Saccharomyces cerevisiae S288C: one gene and its partner. The gene in region 2 interacts genetically with the main gene of each other region. Each region holds a gene or a part of one and is shown on either strand. Other genes may lie near its edges.

Region 1 (3,759 bases), on a different chromosome or scaffold from region 2:
AGGCCCTTCGTAGGTCTGTGTTGATAAAGAGTTTTCCGCGGAAGATTCATCAACATTAGCTGTATCTTTTTTTGAGGGTGACTCTTCAGTATCGATTATGGCCACTTGCGGATGGTCGGTAAACGTTACTTGTTTCAAGAAAGAAACATCAGTATTGCTTTTGGTCTCTTGTGGTACATTATGAGATAAGTTCTCGATGCCTTCGGTTTTCAGACAAGGTTCAGGCTCTCCTTTTATATCCGTATCCGGAGAGATCAATATAGTATCTTCAGTGCCAGTGGAGTTTGATGGTGTAGGTGTTGCAGAATTATCCCTTTGTGAGACCACTTGGGCAGCAGGTGATGAGTTTTCAAAAGTATTTTCCCTGCTCTCGAGAGCACTTACCATTTCATCTTTAATTTCTTCATTATGTAAATTTTGTATCGGTTCGCCTACATTGGTAATTTTTTGCTCATTAGTTATTATATTCTTTTGTGGTTGGCTGTTGGGAGCTTCATCAACGGTACTCTGCTTGTTTGCAATTGCGTCCAATGTAACATCAGGTAATGCTGTTGGCTTTAATTCGTCTGAATTTACTCTACTCACCGCTGCATCTGGACTCGATTCTCCTTCAACTGTATCGTTAGTAGAAGTTTCCTCAATCCTTTTCTGGTTGTGTACAGATGAAGAATTCTCACCCAAAGAATTCACGTCGCCATCGTTCTTTATCGATTCTTCACTCTCCCGCTTTTTATCATCTGATGCGTCCTGTTTTCCGAGATTTAAATTCTTCTTTGGCTTCCTCGGATATTTTTTCTTCTTCTTATCACGTTTATTCAATTGTTCCTGCCAATATTTACGATCTTCTAACTCCATCGCTGGCGTCATTAGCCAAGCAGTAGATAAAAATTGCAGTATAGTCTCATTTGGCTGGAATTTCTGCTTTTGTCTTTTCTGCAAAGCTAGACGATTCTCCTTTTTCCAAACTTCTTGTTCCTTGAACTTATCCAGTGACAAAATATTCAGCTTCTCAGTCTCCTTGGCAATCCGTAGCCTCTCTTCTTGTGTCAGCATATGCTGAGACTCCTGCTCCTTGTGTTTCCTTATTCTTTCTTGTATAATTTTTCTCTTTTTTTCAGCTTTAGACAATTTCTCATAAACTTTCATCGTGTTTTCCATTACCGATGATCTTTTAGAAGTTCTCCTTGTATTTAATAGTAACGTCTCTGCGTTTAATTGTTCATGGGTATGGTGCGATCTTGGTATAGCTTCTCCTGACTTAGGCTTAGGTTTTTGTTTTTTGATTACAACGGGACCCTTCTGTAATCTCTTGTTTCTTTTCTTTCTTGAAAGTAGTTCTTGTCTTCGTATTTCCTTTTCCTCTGCATCTTCATCATTCTCGTTGCTGGAGTCCTCAGATTCGCTACTGCTGAACATTAAGTCATCGGCTGCTTGCTCACTTGAAGCCTGAGAGGGCTCTTTCCTTATACTTTGAGTCTCATCTTCTTTTTCTTCCCCTTCATCATCGTCATCTTTTGCCATCATTTCGAAATCTTCATCATCTTCATCTTCCTGAAACAACAGCCCTATTTCATCTTCTTCATCATCATTACCATTCTTATAGGAAGAAATTTGTCTTTTGGTAGATTCTATATCTCTTAGCTCCTGCTCCAATAGTTTTTGTAATTTATTACCGGCATTAGACCTCCTAGATCGTGTTTGTATAATAAATTCTGTGTTAGTATCTAGACTTTTATCAGCACCTTCATCACTCATCGTGCACTGTGAATTTGCTTCGGTTTCACTTCTATTTGTATTCATTAGACTACATGGTGCTTTCTGCTTACTGTTTTTTCCATCAGGATTTTTTTAACAAAGAAAAAAGAAAACTACTAAAACCTAAATAAGGTACATATTTTGGCTTACCAGCAAAGAGAATATAAAGAAAAGGGAAAGGAGAGAAAAATTCTGAATATGCAACTTTGTGTGCTTTTTGTTTTCACTGAGCGCTTTCTAAAGCTTTATTTTTGTCTTCAGTATCTAAGTTTGGCTCTTCATCAATAAAAGCCGGTGGCGCATTCGCACCTAGTAAGTAACTGGGCATATCGTTACCTAATGAGTTTTCGCTGGTTGGCAAAGTGAAATCCTCTTGTGCCAGAGCATCCAGCTCTGCATCCAGCTCTGCATCACTAATGTCGTCGAGCTCGCCACTGTTATTATTCATTGCCAAGACTTCTTGCAGCTCATCCCCTTGTTCTATTAAATCCAGCATCTCATCCTGCATGTCCTGTAGTTTGTCGATATTTATCTTGCCGTATTGAGCCTTCATGGCATTGTTTGTTTGCTTTAGTGCGTTTATAGTGATCATTGTGTTCTGTAAGTTATCATTTGTTAACTGGGCTTGCGTCATGGACCAGGATTGAGAATCTAAAGAATCCTTCATATTTTCTAACTGTTTACGTTTATTTAAAATCTTCAAAGCCTGTTTTCTTAACGAGGGTTGCTTGTTGTTTGATCTTTGCAAATTCTTTTGAATATTTTGCAGCTGGAAGTTTAACTGGGCGATTTGAGTATCTAACTGGGATATTCTGTTCGATAGTGATTGTTGGGCCTGATTCATGGACTGATTCGACTCTTGTAAGAGCTGATCATGGCTCTTTTTGTTCCCATATCCGAAAATCCTGTTCATAATTGCCTTGAAGAGTTTATAACTGTGTTTCAACCAATCTTGGCTTCCTCCTATTACTACTTTTTTTAGATGTACTTTTTCTCTTGCTAAAAATCCCATATTTTTGTATGGCTGAAAAACATAGAGGAAGAAAAAGGTCAAAAAACAAAAGATATATACAAAGTTACAAATATATACATGTATATATGTGTGAGTCTGTTGTGATAGAATGAATGGAGAAAATGTTCACCAGATTATTTCTTCAAATATTGGGCCAATTCTTCGATGGAGATCAAAGGAATGCCATGTTTCTTACCAAACGCTTGGCAGTCATTTAATCTCATCATAGTTCCTTGTTCGTCATCGTTAACCAATTCGCCAATAACAGCGACGGGACTTAGTCCACTTAGTTTACACAAATCGACACCGGCCTCAGTGTGGCCTCTTCTCTGCAAAACACCGCCATCAGCGGCTCTCAAGGGACAGATGTGCCCTGGTTTTAAAAATGATTTTGGCGTAGAGGAAGAGTCTGCAAGAGCCCTACAAGTCATCGACCTGTCGTGAGCAGAAATACCTGTGGTAGTGCCTTGGGCTACATCTACAGTTATTGTGTATGCAGTTCCATGCCTGTCGTCATCATTGGATTCAAACTTCATGCCTGTTCTCAGTAGTGGAAGGTCCAACTTATCAGCAATGGCATTCGTCATAGGTGCACAGACGTAGCCTGAGGAATGGCGTACAAGAAAGGCCATTTGTTCAGTGCTGACATTTTCAGCAGCGCAAATAAGATCACCTTCATTTTCACGACCGGCATCGTCCATAACAATTACAAACTTATTCTGCTTGAAGTGTTCTATAGCTTGATCAATTGGTGTAAACATTTTCGACGTTGCCTTTTCTTCTTTTCCTTTCCTTTTTTTTAGCCTTCTGCTTTTTGTTGGAGATATTTACATTCACCTCACATATATACGCCAATGAAAATTTCACAATAGCACGTATATTAATAATAGCCTTGCTTTTTTTTATCAATTCTCGCTAAGAAATTACTCATCAGGCAATAACCTATGCTCACCCGCCTCGAAGCGGCGTTAGGAGATAACAGTGGCCGTGTA
Region 2 (3,759 bases):
TCGGCGAAGCTCACGATTTCTTGAGCAAATCTTTACTAGAATTAAAGAAAAGTGCTAATGTGGGTAAGAAGAAGGAAACTCACAAGGCTAACTTTGAAATTGATTTGCCAGATGCCAAAATGGGTGAAGTCGTCACTCGTTTCCCACCTGAACCTTCTGGATACTTACATATTGGACATGCCAAAGCTGCCTTGTTGAACCAATATTTTGCTCAAGCTTACAAGGGTAAGTTGATTATTAGATTCGATGACACCAACCCATCGAAGGAAAAGGAAGAATTCCAAGACTCTATTTTGGAAGATTTGGATTTATTAGGAATCAAGGGTGATAGAATAACCTACTCATCTGACTACTTCCAAGAAATGTACGACTACTGTGTTCAAATGATCAAGGATGGTAAAGCTTACTGTGACGACACTCCAACTGAAAAGATGAGAGAAGAACGTATGGATGGTGTTGCTTCTGCCAGAAGAGATCGTTCTGTTGAAGAGAACTTAAGAATTTTTACCGAAGAAATGAAAAACGGTACTGAAGAAGGTTTGAAGAACTGTGTTCGTGCCAAGATCGATTACAAGGCTTTGAACAAGACTCTAAGAGATCCTGTCATTTACAGATGTAATCTAACCCCTCACCACAGAACCGGATCAACTTGGAAGATCTACCCAACTTATGATTTCTGTGTCCCAATTGTTGATGCTATTGAAGGTGTTACCCACGCTTTACGTACCATTGAATATAGAGACCGTAACGCTCAATATGATTGGATGTTACAAGCTTTGCGTTTGAGAAAAGTCCATATTTGGGATTTCGCTCGTATCAATTTCGTTAGAACCTTGTTGTCTAAGAGAAAGTTACAATGGATGGTTGACAAGGACTTGGTCGGAAATTGGGACGATCCAAGGTTCCCAACTGTCAGGGGTGTGAGAAGAAGAGGTATGACTGTCGAAGGTTTGAGGAACTTCGTCTTATCCCAAGGTCCATCCAGAAATGTCATTAACTTGGAATGGAACTTGATCTGGGCTTTCAACAAGAAGGTCATTGATCCAATTGCTCCAAGACACACTGCTATCGTCAACCCAGTTAAAATCCACTTGGAAGGCTCCGAAGCTCCACAAGAACCAAAGATTGAAATGAAACCAAAACACAAGAAAAACCCAGCTGTGGGCGAAAAGAAAGTCATTTACTACAAAGACATTGTTGTCGACAAAGATGATGCTGACGTCATCAATGTTGATGAAGAAGTCACTTTAATGGACTGGGGTAATGTCATTATTACTAAAAAGAATGACGATGGTTCTATGGTTGCCAAATTGAATTTGGAAGGTGATTTCAAAAAGACCAAGCACAAGTTGACTTGGTTAGCTGATACTAAAGATGTCGTCCCTGTTGATTTAGTTGACTTCGACCATTTGATTACCAAGGACAGATTGGAAGAAGACGAAAGTTTCGAAGATTTCTTGACTCCTCAAACAGAATTCCACACGGATGCCATTGCTGACTTGAATGTTAAGGATATGAAGATTGGTGATATCATCCAATTCGAAAGAAAGGGCTACTACAGATTGGATGCTTTACCCAAGGATGGTAAGCCATATGTCTTTTTTACCATCCCAGATGGTAAATCTGTCAACAAGTATGGTGCAAAGAAATAAGCATCACATAAGTAATGTATATACATATTTATGTTATTTCTCAACCAGTACCTTTTGAACAATATCTTTTATAAGTGAATGGTTTGCTTTCTGAACCAGTCCTGTGTTCGCTGCCTTGAATCATGTAAGGATAGCAGCTTATGACATGTATGTCTACCTATAGAACTTTGACTGTAAAAGTTTATCATCCATTACCCGGTTTTGTAATTTTGACAATTTATATTTTATTGAAATTGGTTCAAATAGTGACTACGAGCTGGAAGGAAAATATTCAAAGTTACAAAAGGTACTTGAAGGATACCAAAGTTTGTAATTGTATTGCACTAATTTGTTGAGAGCACTATAGAAATGTCTGATTTAGATGAGGATTTATTAGCCTTGGCTGGTGCCGATGAATCCGAAGAAGAAGATCAAGTTTTGACAACTACATCTGCCAAAAGGGCAAAAAACAACGACCAATCTCTTTCCAAGAAAAGGAGAATTGAAGTCGGCAGTGTAGAGGATGATGATGAGGAGGACGATTATAACCCTTACTCTGTAGGAAATGCAGACTACGGTTCCGAAGAAGAAGAAGAAGCTAATCCTTTTCCCTTGGAAGGAAAGTACAAGGATGAGAGCGACAGAGAGCACCTGGAATCCTTACCTGAAATGGAACGTGAGACTCTATTATTTGAAAGATCTCAAATCATGCAGAAGTACCAGGAGAGGAAACTTTTTAGAGCACGTGGAAGAGATATGAAGGAACAACAACAGAGAGCCAAGAACGACGAAGATTCCAGAAAGACCAGAGCTTCCACTAGATCAACCCATGCTACTGGGCATTCTGATATCAAGGCTTCAAAACTTTCGCAATTAAAGAAACAAAGAGCGAGGAAAAACCGTCACTACAGCGATAATGAAGACGAAGACGATGAGGAAGATTACAGGGAAGAAGACTACAAGGACGATGAAGGGAGTGAATACGGGGATGATGAAGAATACAATCCTTTTGATAGAAGGGATACATACGACAAAAGAGAAGAAGTGGAGTGGGCTGAAGAGGAGGACGAGCAAGACAGAGAGCCTGAGATTTCTGATTTCAACAAACTAAGGATCGGTCGTTCATTTGTCGCAAAATTTTGTTTTTATCCCGGGTTTGAAGATGCAGTCAAAGGTTGTTATGGGAGAGTCAATGTTGGCACAGATAAACGTACCGGCAAAACTTCTTACCGTATGGTGAGAATTGAGAGAGTTTTCTTGCAAAAACCTTACAATATGGGTAAGTTCTATACTAACCAGTATTTCGGTGTTACCCAAGGTAAAGACAGAAAGGTTTTTCAAATGAATTATTTTAGTGATGGTTTGTTTGCCGAAGACGAATACCAAAGGTATCTCAGGGCATTGGATAATTCGCAAATGATTAAACCTTCTTTACATTCTTTGAGTAACAAAACGAAAGAGGTTATGGATTTTGTCAATACACCATTGACTGATAAAACTACAGATGAGGTTGTTCGCCATAGGATGCAATTCAATAAAAAACTATCTGGTACGAATGCAGTCTTGGAGAAAACTGTATTGAGAGAAAAATTGCAATATGCCAAGGAGACTAATAATGAAAAGGACATTGCAAAATACTCTGCTCAGTTAAGAAACTTTGAGAAACGAATGTCTGTATACGAGAAGCATCATGAAAATGACCAATCTGACATTAAAAAACTAGGCGAGTTGACCTCTAAGAATAGAAAATTGAATATGAGTAACATCAGAAATGCAGAGCATGTGAAAAAAGAAGACAGTAATAACTTTGATTCAAAGAGCGATCCTTTCAGCAGGCTAAAAACCAGGACCAAAGTTTACTATCAGGAGATACAAAAGGAAGAAAACGCAAAAGCTAAAGAAATTGCACAACAAGAGAAGCTACAAGAAGATAAAGATGCTAAAGATAAGCGTGAGAAAGAGCTACTTGTGGCACAATTCAGGCGCCTTGGTGGGTTGGAGCGCATGGTTGGTGAATTGGATATCAAATTTGACCTTAAGTTTTAGTAGGCAGGACAATTTCAGTGTTTGTAAAAATATATTTATATTTATATATTTAAATATACTAAATAAAAATAATACTATCATC

Evidence for each region.
Region 1: mutations in RTF1 (region 2) and VPS72 together harm fitness more than expected from each alone (negative genetic interaction), as found in Saccharomyces cerevisiae (6 studies listed by BioGRID, with this or other methods).

What each region holds. Positions count from the first base shown.
Region 1 is NC_001136.10:1,425,453-1,429,211, forward strand, and holds the start of VPS72 (Vps72p), read right to left. Parts: upstream 1,756-3,759; coding exon 1-1,755. Other genes in the region: VPS60 (Vps60p), read right to left, coding at 1,979-2,668; 3,4-dihydroxy-2-butanone-4-phosphate synthase RIB3, read right to left, coding at 2,902-3,528; PAC11 (dynein intermediate chain), read right to left, coding at 3,736-3,759. UniProt on the Saccharomyces cerevisiae protein: Participates in the catalytic exchange of histone H2A for the H2A variant HTZ1, an euchromatin-specific factor, leading to chromatin remodeling and changes in transcription of targeted genes. Indirectly involved in vacuolar protein sorting.
Region 2 is NC_001139.9:39,498-43,256, forward strand, and holds RTF1 (RNA polymerase-associated protein), read left to right. Parts: upstream 1-2,000; coding exon 2,001-3,677; downstream 3,678-3,759. Other genes in the region: glutamate--tRNA ligase GUS1, read left to right, coding at 1-1,652.